Linked DNA regions of Astyanax mexicanus. The protein of the gene in region 2 binds, or shares a complex with, the protein of the main gene of each other region. Links are inferred from orthologs where the notes say so. Each region holds a gene or a part of one and is shown on either strand. Other genes may lie near its edges.

Evidence for each region.
Region 1: the proteins of atp7a (region 2) and atox1 are in contact, whole or in part, in an NMR structure (PDB 2K1R), measured with the Homo sapiens proteins. The link is inferred for Astyanax mexicanus from reciprocal best matches to the Homo sapiens genes ATP7A and ATOX1. Residues at the interface, in NP_000043.4 of Homo sapiens: Cys19, Asn20, Ser21, Cys22, Trp24, Thr25, Gln29, Asp67, Asp68, Met69, Gly70, Phe71, Asp72; in NP_004036.1 of Homo sapiens: Thr11, Cys12, Gly13, Gly14, Cys15, Ala18, Arg21, Val22, Lys25, Lys57, Thr58, Gly59, Lys60.

What each region holds. Positions count from the first base shown.
Region 1 is NC_064417.1:39,243,316-39,254,754, reverse strand, and holds atox1 (copper transport protein ATOX1), read left to right. Parts: upstream 1-6,080; 5' UTR 6,081-6,222; coding exon 6,223-6,228; intron 6,229-6,428; coding exon 6,429-6,501; intron 6,502-8,518; coding exon 8,519-8,643; 3' UTR 8,644-8,678; intron 8,679-8,827; 3' UTR 8,828-9,145; downstream 9,146-11,439. Other genes in the region: slc36a1 (proton-coupled amino acid transporter 1), read right to left, coding at 1-24, 941-1,031, 1,121-1,232, 2,215-2,242. UniProt on the Homo sapiens protein: Binds and deliver cytosolic copper to the copper ATPase proteins. May be important in cellular antioxidant defense.
Region 2 is NC_064409.1:71,794,223-71,805,276, forward strand, and holds the start of atp7a (copper-transporting ATPase 1), read right to left. Parts: upstream 4,750-11,054; 5' UTR 4,366-4,749; intron 1-4,365. UniProt on the Homo sapiens protein: ATP-driven copper (Cu(+)) ion pump that plays an important role in intracellular copper ion homeostasis.

The DNA.
Region 1 (11,439 bases), on a different chromosome or scaffold from region 2:
CACGAAGAGACTCAGAGGACCCACCTGCAGACAGTTTCACAAAGTCAGTTGTTAATGAACTGAACATATTTATAATATACCTAATATACAAGTTTCAATGAAGTGAATTCAACAATCAGTATATATATGGTTACTGTCCTGCAAGAGCGTTCATAGTTTTTTTTTTTTTTTTTTTTTCATTTTTGCTGTTTTTAAATTTTTTTTTAGATTATTTGGATCTGGCAACAACAATAATGTTATTTTTTGTGACGACAGAGTTTTAAAACACTAAAGTAATGTAATAAAACAGCATCATTAGAGCTGGATCAAAAAGAAAATCTGTTTTTCTCTAGATTAAAAAGAAAACTCATATCCTATATATAAAAAGCCTTTCTTAATCCTTTATATACTGACATGCCATAATTCATGTGATACCAGTATGTAACTTGATCATTAAGTGTTACCACAGGAGATGGTATTAATTGTTAGTGGGGTTAAATACTGGTCAGTGTGCTCATGGCAAGGTGATAGTTTGGCAGGTGATAGGTGGCATAGTTTGAGCGAGGTCTGATAGTGGGTGAGGGGAGATGGATTGGGAATACTTTATAAAGGGCATAACCACCCAAAATGGAAAGTGCATCAGATGAAAAACAAACGACTGGCAGAAATCACATCCACATTCAATGCAGGTCTCAATTCATTTTCTAGATTCCATTCCAAAAGTCGTAGGACATGAGACTAGTTTCTGTCTCATGATATGTGGCATGCCAGCGTAATTTAGCATACCTTTTGGTTGCACATTATTGACTTTTGTTCTGACTGCCTGCCCTTTATTGTTTCCATAGTATCAGTCTTTTTTTTAAGTGAGTTTTATATGATACAGGCCATTAAAGCCAAGCACACAAAATGTGTATAATGTATTTTTTAATGTAATAACTTTAAACTGATAATAGAGACCTACCACAAGCCCTGCATTCTTCACAGCAAGAGGCAAGCCTAGCAGACCAGTGCCGATGTTTCCTTTCAGTAAATGAATTAAGGTCTGAAAAAACCTGTAAACACAAGAAGCAGAGCCTGAGACCAGCAGTCTAATCAGAACAACTTCAGTCCATTCACACTAAGTTACTGTGACTGGTCTTACGAGGATCCGGTTCTGCCTCCAATTCGCTCGTACTGTCTCTGCATGCGGGACGGGGAATGGACGGGCTCTTCGTCCTCTGTTGGACTCTCCTCTGTACAGGAGAATGCAGGCCCTGAAAAAAAGTTTAAAAGACATTTTTATTCATCATTTTTCTATGTATTAACTTTAATAACTTTAATAATTGACAAACTCTTAATTAGTATTAATATTTATATTGGTGCAAATGTAAAATAAAGAAAAAAGAAAAAGAAATCCCCAATGCTCTTTATAATGAAACCAATATGGGAGAAGGAAAAATCATTCTTAGTAAGTGGATTTAATGTATTTATGTAAGCGATTTTATTGGACCGTACGTAGTAAAATGTGCATAGAACGGAAAGGGACGTTAGTGTTTTGAAAGGGTTCAAAACAAAGCATACAATAGAAATACAGTCAGCTGAAAATATAGGACCATCATAAAAACCTTAGATTTTTAAGCATATTTATTCACATGAATATTTGAGCTTTATTAAAACAGTATTGAGTATTAGTTTTTTTAGTTTTAAGCATAATTAAAAAAAAAAAACAATGCTCTCAAAGCTCCATTAAATATCCACTATGAATTATCCATTGTCTCAGAGAGTACTCAAGGACATTTTGAAATATTCCATACATACACAGCTAAGACATTTTCCCAGTCCATGTCTGAGACTGGTGGACAGATTTACGAAAAAACTGAGGTATTGAGGTAATTGTCAGCTTTTTCCAACATTAAAGGTTTTCTTACGTTTAAAAGTTTTCTTTGATTTGCTGTATAAGCTTCATCTTAGAATACTGTTCAAATGCAGCCTACGTGTCTTTTTATTACATCTCTTCATAAAGACAAACATTTGCATGGGGTGTTCCTTTTCTACATGACCATATTTTTATTGCTTGGCAAAAAAGTACCCTAAGAATATAGTCTACTGATACTTACAAGGTATAACTACAAACATATGGAATAAAAATCTTCCTCACTGCAGTACTAAAAAGAAGCACTGATACAGAGTCTAACTTAATAAAGCAAAACAGGCTGCACCACAAATGTTCTTCTAATGCATATTAAATTTGGTTACCATCCTGATAGTTGATGTCTGAATTCATGGCTGTTCCGCTCAGCTGGAAGTTTCACTGGTCCCTGCTTTTATTGTGGAGACAATTCATCCAGCCACTGTAAACCATCAAAGGCAAGCAAAACATTATTATCATCATTATTACGCTGCTGGTTCAAAGCAAACTCATTTTATTGACCTATATTTATTGAGTTTCAATATTTGCTCAAATTATCACAAAAACAATAGTTCCTGTGTGTACTAGTATATATGAAACAGTATTAGTTGTGTAGTAGTGTGCCATATTATACACATTTGTACACAAGAATATCACAAAAATGTCTGACACTATATTGTGATAATAGCAATATTCTTGAAAGCAGTACATATTATTATACAAAAGCAATATTATTTGTTTTGCTATTTACTGTATTTACTTTTAACTATGTTTTATTGCAGTTTATATACATGTACTAAACATGCTGCATTTTATGTTTCGTTTTTAGATTATTTGTTGTTCAATTGCATTATTTTTGTTACATTTTTCATTTAATATTCAAAATCTGGGTCTTGGAAAGTTACTGTTTACAAAATAGACAAATGTTTATAAATTATTTTGTTTCAAGTGAATGTATTAAACTGTTACATTTGTTTTGTTTGGTTGTGCCATATCGCCCACTCCTAGTACTAGTCCATAAAACACAGTGCTTGTATATATGAAACAGAGTGCTAGTATATGAATCACAGTGCTAGTAGGTCACATTATGCTACAAATTCCAAATGACTCTGTTAGTTATGTAAGGTTAAATTTAGCTGAGTAATTTCTTTCACACTTCTCTGAAGTCAAATCCTCTACATCAGCACTCTGCACACGGAGAAGCTATTAACTGCTGACCACTGCAAATGCCAAACATGTGATTTCACTGTTTTTACTTTGTTGTAAAGGAGTTTAAACTAAAATGAGCAATCTTTCTTTTTATAAATCTTCTGTTTTGTTGATAAGGACATAGCATGAAAAGCTAGAATAGGCGCTCAGTATCTACATTCATTGCAATGATTACAGCCACTGATTAATTCAGTCAGCTGGTGTTGTTTAGTATATAGAGTATAAAATATCAAAAAGTTCTGTTGTCCTTTTAAAATACAGCCTGTCACGATAATTACATTATCGACTTATCAAACAATAAATGGATATAACCTTAATAATTGTAATAATTGTGATATCATTCATTGTGTTTATGAGCAAACCTATTTTTGTTGGTGGAAATGCTGCGAACAGTTCAAGCTCAATCCACATTGGTGGAAGCGGTATAAGAGTGTACTGCTGCAGACAAAAAAAGTACAGTCTTCCAAACTACTATTAAGTAAATGTTTATTGTCTTTAAAATTAAATAATTTGTTTGATATGATATCATGTTGTCATTATTTTAGTGGCATTTACTGGGCTTAAATGATAAATTCTGTATGAAACAGACTTGGGGTGTGGTAAAACATGATAATAAATACAAACATTTTCTTAATATTGCACCTCCGTCCAACCCCAGCATTCCAAAATACAGCGCTTATAGCCAATGCTCCCAATACACTTACAATGAATCATGTTTCACTACACCTCAAGTCCATTTTACACCAAATTTCTCCTTTAAAATGACAATAATATTGTTCATCGCAATCATTTCTGCGACATCATATCATTCGCAAAACATTGTTGTCGTGACGTGCATTGCTATAGATTTTATGCATTGAGGTTGAAAGGCATGTGACATTGTGTAATAACAACTATTTTCATAGTTTCAGTTTAGCATATGAACAAGACTGTCTGAACTGCAGTATTCACTGAAATGAGTATTAACTACAAAAAGTAAACTATTAACAGTATTCCCTCATAGCCTTAAAGGGCTGGTTTTATTGAAAAGCATATTTAAACAAAGTCTCCTTGAATAGTGCTGATCAACAACTACTACAACTAGTTACAGCTCTGGAAAAAATTAAGAGACCACTTCAGTTTCTGAATCTGTTTTTCTTATTTAGCTATTTATAGGTATATGTAAAATTAACATTGTTGTTTTATTCTATAAACACCGGACAACATTTCTCCCAAACTCCAAATAAAAATATTGTCATTTAAAGCATTTATTTGCAGAAAATGAGAAATGGCTGAAATAACAAAAAAAAAGATGCAGAGCTTTCCAAGCAGTTCAGCTTGGTTTGATAGCTTGTGATCCTACTGATTATATTCCAGAGGTTTTCAATTTGGTAAAATCAAAGAAACTCATCATCTAAACGCATGTCTTATTTTTTCCCAGAGCTGAATATAAAGTGTAGTTCTTTAACTAGCATTTATTTGGGTTACACTGGACCTAATTTATTGGCTCTAATATTGCTTTGTCCAATGGAAAACTTACCTCAGACAACAATCATATCTTGACCATCTGGGAATGAGTTAAACTGTTCTAAACTAATTTAAGTTTATTTACTAAACTATTCACTTAAAACACAAGCACAAAAACACAAGCACAATGTACAAGGACATGTTTACTAGCCTGTAATTGGCTAATAATCTTATAGCTGGTCACTTAAGTAGCTGCATGTAACCGTAAGTCGTTAAATTTCCCATATATATATCTAATATTTCAGTGTATTTAATGTTATAAAGCAGCCCAGCTGTCTGTCACTCATTCACTCCCTGCCGCTGCAGCTGAGTCGTGGCTCCTGTAGTAAAAGGGCTTATTACTCAGTGAACTGACAGTTAGGCTGGTTAGCTACTCACCGGGAGCTCCAGAGAGCCGCTGCGGCCGCGCAGAAGCCTTATTTCACTAGCAAAGACGAATGAACAGCCACATTTTCCTTTAACAACTTAAACAGATAACAGTATTTAAAGCACGGTCCGGTTTTAAATCTCCAGCGCGGTGTGAACCCCGCCGCTGACCCGCTGTCTCACTGCTGCTGCGAGGCTTGTTGTTTCTTCTGGTGTTCAGAGCGCGCCGGTCACATGATCCTCTGATCAGCTGACGCAGCTTGAGGGAGCTTCTGTGAAAAGCCTGACCAAACTGGCACGTTTAGACTTTAATCTAATAGGATTTTGATATAACAGTAGTTCAGGAAATTAATACATCATTAGTAAAAATGAAAAATGCAATACAACAGAAAATTCCAGCATGTACAAACTAAAGTTTGAAGCTTATTTGTAATACAATGAAATTTTCTGATTCAGTTTTAATTCGTACAATTCGTATTGTATATGTAAAAAATCGAATTATTAAGATTTGATTTGGTTTGTTGCAAATGAAAAATGCATTTAAATTAGATTGCAATTCAATTCTTACATGTAGTAAAAGAACGTTTTAGTCCTCACCATAAAACACAGAAAAGACACCACACACAGAAAAGAAGAAATGTGTGAATATATTTCCTTTTTAATTGCATTTTAAATGTATTTTGTTGTTGTTGTTCATTTATTTATTTTAATGTCACTTGCAAGTTTACAAATTTATATTTTACATATATTTTTGTTCCATATGTACATACACTATTTACACTACACTAAAGCTCTATTGGCCTGTGTGTATGTATATATATAGAGCATGCCGTGAACCAGCCCTAACTGATAAACAAATCACATGTAAGATTAAATAAGAAAACGATTTAACGATTCAATTCAGTTAAAAAAAATAAAGACATATAAACATTAGTTTAGTTATCCTCGTTGTTTGATAGTATTTTTAAATTGCTTTTAGTACTTAATAATAGACAAATACAAAACTAATTTTAAGAGAGACCTATAAAGATATAGAGAAAATTTATTTAAAGAAAACCTCAGAACTTTTCCCATTATGCTCCGATTCCGCAGTGTTGTAATATGGTAATACACGCTTCAGAAAGTGGGCGGTAATTTAGTGATCATCCCTAAGTCACACGTCTTCGCTCAGCACCGAGCAGCAGAGTAGCAGAGTTCAGATAGCTCTTGGTGTTCATTTAACAGGAGGTTTCGTTTACTTAATTCTTTTGACGCTCTCAAGATCTTATCGGATCATGGCAGTAAGTGTCTTTTATCTTTGATTCCCGACTTTAGCCGATAGTTCAGGGCTTTTGCTGTCTAAAGGCCAAGGGCTCATTTTCTGGTCGTGTTTAGCTAAGTTGCTAATTTAGCCTGTTGGATTTAGTAAGTTAGGGATAGCTTGGCTGGTGCAGGGACTCGGAATTTAAACAGTCTGAGATAACGCTGTTTTTGTCCACAGACCCACGAATTCTTTGTTGATATGACCTGTGAGGGATGTTCTGGAGCAGTCACCCGGGTTCTTAAAAAAATAGGTAGGTCTACAGTGTGTATGTTGATGTTTGTATGTGCTGATGTTTGTGTGTAGTTTAGGAGTTAATTCAACTTTTCTCAGCTAGCTGAACTAACCTAGAGTAATCTAACTATTAGCTAACTAGCTATCTGGGTTAGCTGGCAAGTTACCCTAAGAGCCTAAACCCACTTTTGAATATTGATTCTAATTTCTAAATCAAATCTGATAAATTCAGTGGGCAGCTCATTTGGGTTTTTTTTGTATTGTGGGCACATATTATATGAAATATAAATATTATGGCTAAAATCCTGATGCAACCCAAATGACACCACAACATTTTAATAACCTGTATTTTAAAGTGTGTGAAATGATGTAAAATGGACATAAAATGTAATAAAACATGATCATGAGGATGAACCTTTAGCCCTATCCGGGCGGGAATAATTTCTTAGGGGGACTGCAATTGAAAAAACAGGAGGACCAGTGATTTTTTAGGCTTTCTCGGTCACATGACATTGCATTCAGTAACTCCTCCATTTCCCCTTGCTGTTGTGTTCATGTGTATTTCCTTGGATAAGTGCGTCCCCAAAGTGTAATTACGGTGCATGGCAGTGGACAAATAGCTATTTTATATATTTTTTTTAAATGCAAGGTGACAAAATGCAGAGATGTGCATTATGGATGAGACTTAAATTACCGGACGAGTTCAGTGAAAAACAATAGGTTATTCAGGCTGCAATTTTCTCATAGGACATCTGAGAAAAACACGTACATGGTCATTCCGGACGTAAATAAAATCACAGAGGACCCCCCATAAAAGAGAAAATCACCCCATGACCAACTGAGAAACTTATTATTGACAGAATTCCAAGGGCCCTGACATATAAAATGAGGCGCTGAGAATCAATAAGTCGACTGACGTGCATGAACGAATAGGTAGGATAGGGGAACAGGTTAGGCAAAATGTATTAGTGGAAATGCATAACTTCAAGTTGTTGCTGAAAGTATCTGGTGATTGTCTACATCAGACTGAAGAGCACCATAAAACAAAGGGCATAATCTTTACTGAACTACTCAGAACTACTAATCTTTTGAACTACTCAGTCACTCGTCAGTTGACTTAGCGTGACTTAATTTTAAGCCTGAAAAATTACCTGAAGGTGCACTATCAAAGTTTTCAGTGCCTTGTTTTTAATGTCAGGGCCTTTAGAATCTTACGAATGCAGTGTGGAGCTTCTTTGAGCTTGGTAATGGTGAAAAAAAAAAAAGATTTCTGGCCAGGGGAAATGCAATGCCCCTATCACTAGCATTGGAGGCCTGTTGGAAGCATCAGCTAAAAAACACTGTATTTGGTAATGCTGGGGGTAAATAGAGGTGGGTTAGTCGACAAAAGTTTGTACTCGATATTATGTTTTACTACACCCTAAATCAAGGAACTTTTTTACATATCATTAAGGGTCTGTGACATATATTACCACAGGCTCTTTTGAAGCAAAGACCCAAATTAAAACTCTTGTAAACTCTTTAAAAGCATGTAATGATATTTCAGAGCAGTGATATAGTTGACCTGTTTATTGTTTTGTTTTTGCTTTTGTTTTTTTTTGTTTTTTTTTCCATTGCTTTTTTATCATGTGTACACACTTCTTTGGTTTCATATTGTACTGCGTAGTCAGTTTCGTAACGGACTGTTTTAGGTCAAATGAGTGTGCACAGTGTGCATCACTGCTGTCTGAACTCTTTTTCTGATTGCCAAATAAACAAATTTACAGGAAAAGCAAAAATCTTCCTAATTTTCAGGAGAAGTCAATGTAAATAATTTATTTCATTTATTTTACTGATTTATTTACCCTAAATGTGAATAATAAAATGCACATTTCAATTGTGTAAGGAAAATTAAAGAATAAGAAACTGGATATACAAGGTTTTTATGAGACATTTTGACATATAATGAAGTGCCATGGTAGGGTGACAGCTGAAAGCTTACAGTTTACACAATTTTGAATGTTTAAAATGTTTACAGCCTATTCTTAATTCAACAGATGTCAAGTTTGACATTGACCTTCCTAACAAGAAGGTCTTCATCGAGTCAGACAAAGACAGTGATGTTCTTCTAGAGACGCTGAAGAAGACTGGAAAAACTGTCACTTACATCGGCACAAAATAGAGGATGCTCAGCATTTAACAGCTTTTCTACACCATGTAAGCCTGCTGCTTCTCTTTCCTAATTAATAACCACTGGTTGTTTATTTACTGACATTATGAGTATTATTAAATTGTATTAGTTTATATTTATATGCATTTTGGGTTTGGGTTTCAGTCTCCTTCATTTGTGATTCTCCATGTGACAGGTTGTAATTCCTGACAAGATTATGGATGGCTGTGTGATCACGCTCTTCAAGAATGAGGTGTGTGACTGTGGGGACCAGTGGAACAAGCTTCTAAAACCTGTCCTGATGTGCACCATGATAATCAATTCAAATGCTAATTAATGAAATATTAGTATCTAATGCAACATAGTTTTAGTACAATGGCTCCTTTTGTGGCTGCAATATAACAACTAAGTATAGACATAGTCTGCTACTGTATTGTCTGATCATGAAAAAAAGCCTGTTTTCTTGCCTGTTTGGAATTTGAAATTAATAAAATGAATACATTTAAGTATTAAACACTGTTTTAATGGAAAATTAAATTAAAGTTTATGTAACATGTTTTGTGATTAGCATATAAGCTTCAGGATCACAGCAAACCGGCTAAATTTTTTTACTTTTTTTTTAAATAGACATTTGGTTATTTTTAACCTGAAACACAACAAATAGTGCATTTGATACAAAATAGATATAAAACCATATAGAATTTCATTTACAACCTTAAATCAAAAAAGTAGAGACAGAATAGAAAATGCAAGTAAAAATGCATTATGGCATACATTTAATGTAACTAATTTAGTAATTATTTCACTTTTTTTTTTTTTTTAATGTACAACTATTCCTGCATTGCGGCCCTGCAACAAAGGTAGAAACAAATTTGAAGAGTCAAGCATTTACCACTAGTGTTGTCATTTGTTGTCACCACGCCAGCATGTGTGTTTGCATTGTCTTGTTGAAAAATCCCCATACTATGACCCTGGATTTTGGACTTGTTGCTGATAACAGTCTGGATGGTCTTTTATATCTCTGCTGTGGAGCAAAGGGCATCCTGTTATACCTTATATATTGATTAGTCTGACCACAATTCACATTTCCCCTGGGTGATGGTCCATTCCACATGCCCCCAAGCCCAGAGAATTCAACACTTCTAGACAATGTTTATGGTTGTATTTGTGAATGAAACTTTATATTGTAATGTTTGACAAATGTCTACAAAAGTAATCAATTAAACATGTGGGTCTATTAGCTATTGCTGAATGACAGTTCTTGATATAGTGCCGCCTGAGAGATTGGAGATCATAAGAGCCTTTGGCATATATCCACTGCTAATTACCAGTTCCTTAAATGGTTTAATAATAGTACAAAATATGCAAATTCCTTCCATTTGTTTTTGACTGTTTTGTTTCAATTTGTTATGACCAGGAGATCCTCTTCCAACTTTTGCTCTTCAGACTTAAGGGGATACATCTATTTGAAATTAAATAATTTTTTATTGATTTATTTTTTTTTACCCCATTATTAACCCTAAATGGCCCATGTTCCAAAGTCTCAGGTAAAAATGCAGGAATGCAATATTAACAAATAATCTTTAATATCTTTACATATGGGGTTGCATATATATATATATATAAACACACTTCAGTTTCTGTTTCTTCAGTTTCTGAATCAGTTTCTCTGATTTTGCTTTTTATAGGTATATGTTTGAGTGAAATAAACTGCTGTTGAATTTTATAAAGTACGAAAAACATTTCTCCCAAATTCCAAATAAAAACATTGTCAGTTAGAGCATTTATTTGCAGAAAATGAGAAATAACAAAAAGCTGCAGAGCTTTCAGACCTCAAATAATACACAGAAAACAAGTTTATATTCAAAGTTTTAAAAGTTCAGAAATCAATATTTGGTGAAATAACCCTGGTTAATCACAGTTTCATGCATCTTGGTATGTTCTCCTCAACCAATCTAACACACTGCTTTTGAATAAATATATGCCACTGCTGGTACAAAATTTCAAGCGGTTCAGCTTGGTTTGATGGCTTGCAATCATCTATTTTCCTCTTGATTATATTCCAGAGGTTTTCAATTTGGTAAAATCATGGAAACACTACCGTTCAAAAGTTTGGGGTCACATTGAAACGTCCTTATTTTTGAAGGAAAAGCACTGTACTTTTCAATGAAGATAACTTTAAACTAGTCCTAACAAATACACTCCTAAACAAATACACTCTGTACATTGCTAATGTGGTAAATGACTATTCTAGCTGCAAATGTCTGGTTTTGGTGCAATATCTACATAGGTGTATAGAGGCCCATTTCCAGCAACTATCACTCCAGTGTTCTAATGGTACAATGTGTTTGCTCATTGGCTCAGAAGGCTAATTGATGATTAGAAAACCCTTGTGCAATCATGTTCACACACCTGAAAACAGTCTAGCTCATTACAGAAGCTACAAAACTGACCTTCCTTTGAGCAGATTGAGTTTCTGGAGCATCACATTTGTGGGGTCAATTAAACGCTCAAAATGGCCAGAAAAAGAGAACTTTCATCTGAAACTTGACAGTCTATTCTTGTTCTTAGAAATGAAGGCTATTCCATGCGAGAAACTGCTAAGAAATTGAAGATTTCCTACAACGGTGTGTACTACTCCCTTCAGAGGACAGCACAAACAGGCTCTAACCAGAGTAGAAAAAGAAGTGGGAGGCCGCGTTGCACAACTAAGCAAGAAGATAAGTACATTAGAGTCTCTAGTTTGAGAAACAGACGCCTCGCAGGCCCCCAACTGGCATCTTCATTAAATAGTACCCGCAAAACACC
Region 2 (11,054 bases):
TTTTTCTTGTTATTATTTTATGCCTCATAAAATTTAAATAATATATTTATTATTATTATTATTATTATAAATATTATAAATATTATTATTATTATTTATTAAGATATATATGGTAATGCCATCTAGTGACTTTTTTTGGTAGCAACAGTGTGCACTATTAAAACAAGCAGTTTATCAGAGCTGTGTGTGGATGGCTGGTGAAACTGCTCATTACATGAAGCTGCAGTTCTTCATCCAACCACTAGCAGCAGCAGCACAAGCCCCGCTCTCTTCACTCAGTCACTACTTCAGTACAGCCCAGCCACGGGCTACAGAGCTCAGCCAGTCCGTTTTTACTGTTTCTGTAAACAAATAAAGGTTTTAACCCCACTAACCGGATAATACAGCTCACTACAGTTCATCTTTCAGCCCAAGCAGCTAACAGCAGCAGGTTAGAACAGCCGACACGGAGGCACTGCTCGGATTACATTATAAACAGGTCAGTTAGCGCGCTGCTAACCTCAGGATGTTTATAACTACGGAGTTTAGTGGACACACCACGGCCGCCAGGTAAGTCTTTTAAAGGCTACTGAAGACTATTAAAGGCTATTAGAGTGTAACCCCTGGCTCCCAGGGGTTACAAGAGGTTATTGAAAGCATTATTGGGGGGCAGAAATCAGTACAGGCTGGTTAGATAAGTGATGTGGGTATTGTCTTATAAATATTTACACATAACTTATATCTCTCCTGAAAAGCTTTTATTTTAGTCAGAAACACGCTTGTGTTTACTTTATCTGAGAGAAAGATGTTTTTTTAATTCAATGGAAAGCAACAGGTGTAGTCAATTATAAGTTTAAGATTTTTAATCCACCTCACTGTGATCTATAGTCAGTGTTCTCAAGTCACACTGACACACGCATTTCAGCGAGTTCACACGCTCTCACCTGCGCGCACCCACCCCTCCGTTAGATACAGATACAAAACCTGCGCGCCCAACCCCCGCCCCCCCTCCCCCGTTGGACAGATAAAAACAGTGATCACACTCCCGCCGACTGCGCTCATGCAGTGGCTATCTCTATTTAAATGAATAGGATGCGCTGTGTTGGTGCCGCGCCATTTGCGTAGCGCGCTGCGCTATTTGCGTAGCGCGCGCGGGAGGGATCGTCGATCCTCTTTTTGACTTCGATACTCGAGATCGTGACCTCATTTCGATTCGATTTCGATAAAATATCGAGATCGTGACACCCCTACTGTTTACTGTATTTATTTTTTGTTTGGAGTTTACAGGAATGCACTAAATTTGCTGCACTATATACTCTTTTGCAAATTTGTGAGTCTGGAAGTTACTGTTTACGAAATAAACAAAAAAGTACAGATGTTCTGTCTTCACTGAATGTATAAAATATAGTCATACTAAAGTAAACTAAAAATAAAATAAAATAATTTATGTTTTTCATATTCTCAAGAATACTGTTTTATATATATATATATATATATATATATATATATATATATATATATATATATATATATATATATATACTGTTATATTATACCCTGAAATATTATGATATTACTTTAGGGTCATATCACCCACCCCTGTCCTTGAGCAGGTAAAGTATATACTGAATGTTAAAAGGGTGCTGTCAGATGTGCAGCATAGCCTATCCCCTCAAAAGTGTTATAAACATGTAACTTTAATTTTTCTAACCAAAATTTTGTTTTGTATAACTGTGAGTGGCTATAATATTGGTTATCATCACTGTGCTTTGTGGATGATGGAAGTGCGTAAATCAAGTAGCCACTCCCATCTAAATCATTTATGCTGAGATTTTATATCCCATGTGAATCAGTCATAAATTTTACAGACAACCTGTAGTAAAATCATATTACTTCCCTTCCTCATGAAAAACTAACCCCATCCAAAAAAAAGCTACTGACAATAAAGGTGTGCAACAAAGCACATGTAATATGTTTAACAGAATGCAACCAATCAGGTTAGTGAAGAAGAAAACATAAGGAAACACAATACAGCTTCAGAAACTCATGGGAGGACAGTAAGGGCAGCTTTACAAACTAACAGCCAAACCCAAGCCCACAGATTAGCTGAGTAATACACTTGCACACTTTTTCCACAGGTTTAATAACTATATGTGGAAATTAATCTTCTGTAAATCTCTAATCCAGTCCTCCAACAGACTGTATTATTTATTATTGTGTTTGTGATGCCTACCTCCTACAAATAAGTTCTAATAGGTATGAAAGCACTGTTTAGCCATAATATTAAAACCACCAGTGCAGCCAAGGCAGCTCTGACCCCCTGAGTCATGGACTCCACAAGACTTATGCTGCCCTGTGGTTTTTGAGACCAGGAGTAAAGTTAGCAACAGGTACTTTAACGCCCTGTGAGATGGGTTGTGAGATGGGACTTCCAAGGGTCATATCTATGACCCTTAGGCTCCCATGACCTGGTTACCGGTCCATTGGTTATCCACTGGCTGTTAGGAGTACTTTTGGTAGGTACTGATCACTGTATACAGAGAAACCCACAAGACCTGTCTGATGTTGTGTAGATGTTCTGATCCAGTTGTTTAGCCCTCACAGTCTGGCTCTTGCGAAGTGGTTCAGATGCTCATTCTCGTGCCCATGTTTCCTGCTTCCAGCACATCGACTTCAAGAATTAAATGTTCACTCGCTGCCTAATCTGTATGTTCCACCACTTGAAAGGTGGTTTTAATGTTATGGCTCACTGGTGAACAGCTTGTGGGAGAATCACAAGACCATTGTGCTGAACAGAGGAATGTTAAATGTTTATAAAAAGGAAGGAAATGACCAAGAAACTGTTTTATCCACAAGAAAATGAATCGTTCACAATGACTGTGATGTTTTAGAGAAGGGTCACTGCAACTTATTTATATGAGCTGTTATATTTAAAGTAGTATATTTGCTTAATAAAAAGCTAGATATGTTACACTTTTTACTCTATATAAGCTTAACAGCTCATTTCATGTTAGACTTAAACAATATTTAATATACTTAACTATTCAAACAAATGACCACTATCATCAGAAGTATATTAATGATTTTAAATGTAGCCAATAATTTACACAATGGGTAAATATTTCATCATATCCTAAGGAAATTTAATTTTTCACGTATTTAAGAAGAAATGTAATTTTATTGTGTGTGGCACAGTAACTTTGGGTCATTGCCAACCCCAGATTTTTCACGTTCTGAACATTTATTCCCTAATGCCTTAAGTAGGGGTGTGCCATATTGTATCGTACACAATAATATCACAAAAATGTTTGACACAATAAAAAGAAACGGTATTTGTTACGAAATAAACAAAAAATTACAGATTTTTCTGTTTTCACTGAATGTATGAAATATAGTCATACTAAATTAAACTAAAAATATATATATATATTTTTTTTATAAAAAAAGATCCCCCTGGCATTATTTGTTACAGCAACTAATTTCACAGCAAAACACAAATAGTGAATAAACAGAATAACACAAATAACACTGAGCGGATAATTAAAGGAAAATGTTCAGGGTTCTACATAAAACTATGTATAGAACCACTAGTACAGAACTATACTATTTATTTTCATTATTAATGAAGACTACATAAAGAACCATATAAAGAATTATACAGAATTCCCTTTAATGAAAAATAGGAAAAGCACTGATAATCTATTTATTTTATTTATTTTTCCTTCAAATTGTAAATGTAATATTTTAGAAATTATGATTAATAAATTAATCAGTCTTACCTTGAAGGTTCACCTTATTTTAAGTCATTTAAACTTAAAATAAGCACAAAAAGCGACCAGTCAAGTTATTCTACCTCTTGTGTCTAAATTTATACCAAAAAATCAGTGACTTTTGCTTGATTTAAGTATAAATTCACTCGTTTTGAGACTTATTTTAAGAAATCTCATTAAGAAAACAGATTTATTCTGTTTAATATAAGCTCATATGTCTCAATTTGCATATACTTTGTCTATTTTTTTTACTACTTACAAACTATTCCAGCTTAACTGTTGTGCAACAGCTCACAAAAGCAGCTAAATTAGCTAAGTATAATGGTTACAAACAGATTACAATGGCATTTAAATCGTTTATAAAAGGTAAAAAGCCATAAACAAAAGATAAACGAGTCAATAATCTAATTTTTAGCCCAAAATCAGATCCATGGCAACCGAAACTAGCGTTAGCTAAGCTAGTTAAGTAACGTAACGTAAAGTAGTAAACGCTGGGAGTTGGGCTAAGCTAATGTAAGCTAACATTGAGAGTTAACTTATATTAAAGTCTATAACAGAACTTTTAACACACAAAACACGCATTTTACACTGATTATAAACTCTGTGCTGTATTTACCTTAGTGTGAGAGCCCTGTAGAGATCTCTTCGGGCTGGTATGGGATGTAAATCCTCTGATAGAGAGAGTTAGTTAGCTAACAGAGCTAGGCTAGCTAACTCTAGCCTCCACGGCTAACAGCGCTCAGTACCCGCGGAGCTCCGCGCTCCTCCTCGCCGCCGGCTGAAGGCTGAAACCACGCCGACACCGGGTCAACCATTCCCCCGCAGTGAGAGAGCAGAGCCCGGCGGTACGTGTGGAGCTGTCACACTGCCCGAGTCTCCTCTCACAACAGATTAATCAGACCTGCCCACATCCACACACACCGCGCTCAGGAGACTCAACACCCGCCACCAACTGCGCAGAGCTGCCACAAACTGCGCAGAGCTGCCACTGACTGACTGACTGACTGACCAGCGGCGAGCAGCACGTGACAACCTGCACTCCTGCCACCTCCACCAGAGCTTTCCCTCTGTGTGACCAAAGAGTAGCATTCACAAACACCACTTTCTCTGTTTTACACACACCAGCCCTATAAAATTGATAAATTTCACATGGTTTTATAGTTTTTTAACTATTTCCTACTATGTGCAATATAATAGTTTAATTTTTACTGCTGTGGTGAGCAACTATATTCAAGAGTTTTATTGCCAGGTTTAGGTATATGAGTAAAATTAACATTGTTGTTTTATTCTATGAACTACAGACACCATTTCTTCGAAATTCCAAATAAAACATATTTTCACTTAGAGCATTTATTTGCAAAAAATAGGAAATGGCTGAAATAAAAAAATAGACGCAGAGCTTTCAGACCTCAAATAATGCAAAGAAAACAAGTTCATATTCATAAAGTTCAGAAATCAATATTTGGTGGAATAACCCTGGATTTTAATCAGTTTTCATGCATCTTGGCATGTTCTCCTCCACCAGTGTTACACACTGCTTTTGGATATCTTTATGCACACACTCCTGGTGCAAAAATTCAAGCAGTTCAGCTTGGTTTGATGGCTTGTGATCATCCATCTTCCTCTTGAGTATATTCCAGAGGTTTTCAATTTGGAAAACATAACAAGGAAAACATAATGTCTCTTTTTTTTTTTTTTTTTTACCAGAGCTGTATATATTTTAGTCTTGTCAATCAATTTAAAAATATATGTATTTGTATGTTTTAGGGGAGATAAAGCCAACGGGGGGCGCTGGAATAAAGAATGTATGATAAATTGAATAGAGGAAAGTTTTTTTACTTTATTGTAAATATCTCAGCCTGGTTGTTTAGAATTTGCTGAGTATAAAAATCTCAGGAATCTTGTAGATCAGCTAAACCATCACACTCACTAAAACATACTCTGCCCTCTTGGTCAAGAGCTAATCTGGTCAAGCAGATTAATCAGCTCGACCTATTATATTTGGCTTCGCTGTTCAGTAGGACATTTGTGCCGTCATATACAAGTACAACATATGTGATCTGACTGCAGTGCTGTTGATGGACAGAAGAGTGTGCTGTGTGCACACTGAGTTTTCCTGAAGTCCACAACAATCTCCTTTACAATGTAAAAAATAATTTAAAAAATAAAACACATTGAATGAGAAGAGGTGTGCCCAAACTTTTGACTGGTACTGTATATTTTAGTATATTTTGTTTGTATTTTTCCAAACACTTCTGTTCTGTCATCTGCACTGTTGTGACGTTGCACATTTTCCCAATGTGGGATTAATGAAGGCAGTCAGTAGTAAGGAAAGCACGACCTCTAGCGCTGAATAAATATATGACATATAATAAAAGCAGCACTATTCTCTGTATTGTGAACAGTAAGCTTTGGAAAACCAGATGCAAAATGGTAAGCAGTTAAATTAATATTCCTGCAAATGTGATTTTTATATAAATCATTTGTAAACTTAAAAGGGCAATGTACTCCAGAACAAAAAACAAATACCCCTAGACAATTTAACATTTTTAATTAGGCATTGTTTAATAATAATATTTGCATAATGCATGCATGGGCATTGAATATGTGTAGACTTGGTGTAAAAGGAAATTTCTTATAATTGCTGTGATGGAAAAATATAAATAAATTGTGATGATTCTGTAATATGCTTTGTTTGATTTAAGTTTATTAAAACATCAAAGAAAATGTTATAAAATGTACCAAATGCACTTTAAAGTGAAGATTAAAATTCCTCTATATTTGTTATATTACTATATCACTCATATCCATTCACTTGGCAACCAAAAACTCCACTAAAGCAACGCCTTAGCAATTCCCAGATACGGGTACCATAGGAACCTCTTAGCAACTGCATAGCAACCATCTTAGCAACTCCTCATCACAGCAATACTGCTGAGCATTTACAGGAACTACACTGCCTAGTTTTTATCTATTATTATGTTTATTATATTTTTTTAATCTACCAGCTACATCAAGCCTCTATACCAAAGGGGTACCAGGACAGCTGTAGACTGAAGAGCTGAGCTTGTCTTCTCCATGCATCCCTCCATGGCAGAGGAGGAGCACTCCTGCTCTGAAAACTTAATAGGAGCAAACACCAGGGCAGCCAAGCGTACATACACCTGCTGGCCTTTTCTGAAAAAAAGACGATTAGGCTATTTTTGGTATGTACTCTCCCTTTCCTACCAGTTTAGACTTGAACCTGGTTGTGCTTGTTTTGTTTGCTTAATCATACAGACCAGACATTTTAGTCTATTTACCCTTACTGCTTAGAGATATATATGCCATTCACTTACCACACATTCACACAAATAAATCCAGACTGTTCTCATACAGAGTTCCCCAATGGTGGAACAAGCTACCTGCCACCACCAGATCAGGAGAATCTCTCACTATCTTTAATAAACTCCTGAAGACAGAGCTCTTCAAAGAGCACTTACTCTCCTAACACCTCTAACTAACTACCTTCTACTACCAGATCAGGAGAATCTCTCACTATCTTTAATAAACTCCTGAAGACAGAGCTCTTCAAAAAGCACTTTCTCTCCTAACACATTTCCTGCTCCACTTGCTTTTTCCTCCTCTATTCCAATATTTCCCTTTGACCTCCTTTAGGCCCTGACTTGACCTCCTTTAGGCCCTGACTAAACTTCTACAACCTCTATTGCTAAATGTACATCATTATTTTGAGTTTTTTTGGATTAAGAGCATCTGATAAAAATGTAATGTAATGTAATGTAATGTAACTAATTAGTTAGCTAATAAACAAGTCCTTTATGAAATGGTATACTATGTTTGAAGAGAAAAAAAAACTAAAATATGCAAATAAGGGGGTTAAATCAACACCAAACTATATTGATCACTGATGTCATTTTTTTTTTGGGGCACTTTTTAGATTTTAAGTTAATAAAACTTGAATTCAGTGTTGCTGAATGGCTTTAAATGTATTGTTTGTATTACACTTTACATACCAGTCATTAAGATGGATCTATATTGTTCGTATTCTATTGTTATAGCTTGTATGGTGTTCTTGCAGTGTAGAAATTGACATTTTATATTACTACTACTTCTCATTATTATTATCATATTTTTTTATGAGCACATTTCTTCTAACAGCATTGTGAGTATACAAGAGCCCCAAGACTATAGCTAAATGTTTGAGTATTCAGCTCTGTTAGACAAAAGTATTTTCATTCCACCGTATATGGGTTTTGGGATCCAACAGCAGTATTTAAGCAGCTTTACTACACACTACAGTCATCTGTCTACACCAATTTAACTATTATTTACAGTACACATACATTTAAACATAAATAGCAGTATTGACACAGCTTTACCACAATCTAAAGTGGGAGTGATTTAACCCCTTAAAATGCATTGTCCTGTATACTGGCTACAGGTGTAGGTGATACAAAACCCTCTTTTCTGCAGTAAAATGATTTATTTACATTCTGAAAATCTGAGGGCTTTGAAATCTCCTATAAAACACATGTAGAAGCTGCCTGTTCACATTCTACTCCACTTAATAATTCCAGATCAGTAACAGGAATCAACCCAAATTCTGCAGGTTTGAAAATAGACTATAATAACTAGAATAACATAATTAAACTAAAGATTTGGAAGACATGAACTGTTTGATTTGTATTCAGAAAAATATAGATTTTAAAATGAAGATAAGTGTCACATCCTGGTCTCGTCTCGTGTCTCTGTGTGTCTTCCCCACGTGACCTATGCTCCCCTGTGTCTCCCATCTCAGTACCTTTCCACCACTTGTCTCATTTGTAGCTCCGCCCCTTCCCCAGGTGTTTCCAATTATAGTGCGTTTCCTGTTTCTTTAAATAGCCCTCCTCTGCCACTTTGTCTCTGTCGGTCTTTGCACCTTCACCTGTCATTCATCTCTCTGTGTTTTCATAACGTTTCTCAGTGTCTCTCTTGGTTCCTTGTTTCTTGTTTATAGTTTATTTCCTTGTTTATTTCTTGTTCCCTAGCTCCCTGTTTATACCCTGCTTGTGTTGATTCCTAGTTTATATATTCTTGTATATATTCCCTGTTTGTTTATTTATTATCTCTAGTTGGTTTAGTTTAGGTTCTTTGATTTGTTTTGGTTATTGGTTATTTGTGTATCTTTGTTTCATGTTACTTGTTCCTTGTTATCTTGTTATTTATTTATTAAATTATTATTTATTTTCACCCTACCTGCACTTGTGTCCGCCTCCTCGTCTTCCTGCCTGGGTCTACGTGACAATAAGAAAATAGCTCATTTTATGATTTTATTTATTATAGTTTGACATTAGCAGATTTACTTAAATATTTTTTTTATTACAATTACAATTATGCTTTTTTTGAGTAATGTTCCTTATCAAACATAACAAGCTTTTATGTAATGCTTGAATATAAATCCTCAAGATTTAGTGGTGCAATGCCAGTCAGACTAATGACAAAAATCCTGTCCTGTTAAGGGGACGTGATAGATTTAAGGTGACAGTGAATTTAAGGTAAGTAATTGGTTTAAGGTACAGTTGCATTTGGGGTAGCTCTGAATTTAAGGTAACATTTTTTTAATGTTGTTAGTTGGACACTGTTGTAGCACACAGTTTAAATGCAGTATAACAGCGTGGAACAGTGTGTATTGCCCTGAGCTGTGCTGTAGGTTTCAGACAGACTGCAGCAGACACTGATTACACTGAGATGGTGAGGAGCTTTACGCATTCTGCAGCCTGTCGTGTGTATCTGACACACTGACCTACTTTCAGTGTGGGTGCTTTATACCCGCCCATAAATTACCCTGGGGGAGGGCAGAAAGGAGGGGCAGAGGCATGTACAGGGGGTCTGTAAACTAACTACCCCACAAGCATGAAGCATGTGCAAAATAGTTTATTATAATATTTAAAACACTCTCAGCTTACACATACATGATGAATTGGTGTACGTGCCACAATGGCGACAGCAAAGCAAGAGTAAACACCGGCTGGTGTAGGGTTTTTGTTTAGGAAAAAAGGAAGGAAATGAAATGTAAATTTACAACATTTTCTTTAATATGTTTTAATAGAATATTTTACTTACATTTATTTATCTGTATATAAACATGTTGATGGAGATATATACCCATATCTGGTGCCAATAGGTTCATGTTTATCTTCTCCAGCATGAATTTAGACTCTCTTTACAGTACAGGCAAAAGTTTGGACTTAAATTGCCTTTATTTTTGTAATGTAGGTAATAAATAGACAATAACTTTTTGTTTATTGAAATAAGATGAGCAGTGGGACAGGTCAATAAAAACAGTAGATGATCATGAAAAAATGTCTTTAATATTATTCTACAATATAGGAAATAAATTAAATAAAGAAATGCATGTGTGTTTGTGTGCGTGGTGAGGATGTTTGTGTGCATTTGCACATCTCTGTCAGCGATTGGTGCCTTTTAAAGTAGCTGAGTAATGCGGCATTCATTATAAGCGGTGTCCACAGACATTTGGAGGGAACATTTGGATGTTTAGCCAAGATTGTGTCTCTATCTATTATAAGCAGCAATGTAGAGCAGTGCAGTCATTAGCATAGTATGCATAGCAGAGAGAGAAACAGTGAAGAAAGAGAGTGTCAGTGCAAGAGAGAGTCTGTGAGAGTCAGTGAGAGAGAGAGTCGATGTGTGAGAAAGAGGCAATGTGTGTGTGAGAGAGAGTCAGTGTGTGAGAGTGAGTCAGTGTGTGAAAGAGAGAGACAGTCAGTATGAGTGAGAGAAAGAGAGTCAGTGTGAAAGAGAGTCAGTCAGAGAGAGTGTGAAAGAGCCAGAGTGAGTGTGAGAGAGAGAGAAGAGTCAGTGTGAGAGAAAGAAGAGAGAGCCAGTGTGAGATGAGTATCAGAGTCAGTATGAGAGAGAGGAGAGTAAGTCAAAGAGAGTCAATGAGAGAGAGAGAGATAGAGTCAGTGTGTGAGAGAGTCAGTGAGAGAAAGTCAGTGTGTGAGAGTCAGTGAGAGACAAAGAGAGAGAGTCAGTGAGAGAGAGAGAAGGGAGTCAGTAAGAGAGAGAGAGAGTCAGTGAGAGAGAGAAGAGAGTCAGTGAGAGAGAGTCAATGAGAGAGAAAGAGAGTCAGTGTGTGAGAGAGTCAGTGAGGGAGAGAAGAGAGTCAGTGAAAGAGAGTCAGTGAGAGAGAGAGAGAGAGAGAGAAGAGAGTCAGTGAGAGAGAGAGAAGAGAGTCAGTAAAAGAGAGTCAATGAGAGAGAGAGAGAGAGAGAGAGAGAGAGAGAGAGAAGAGAGTCAGTG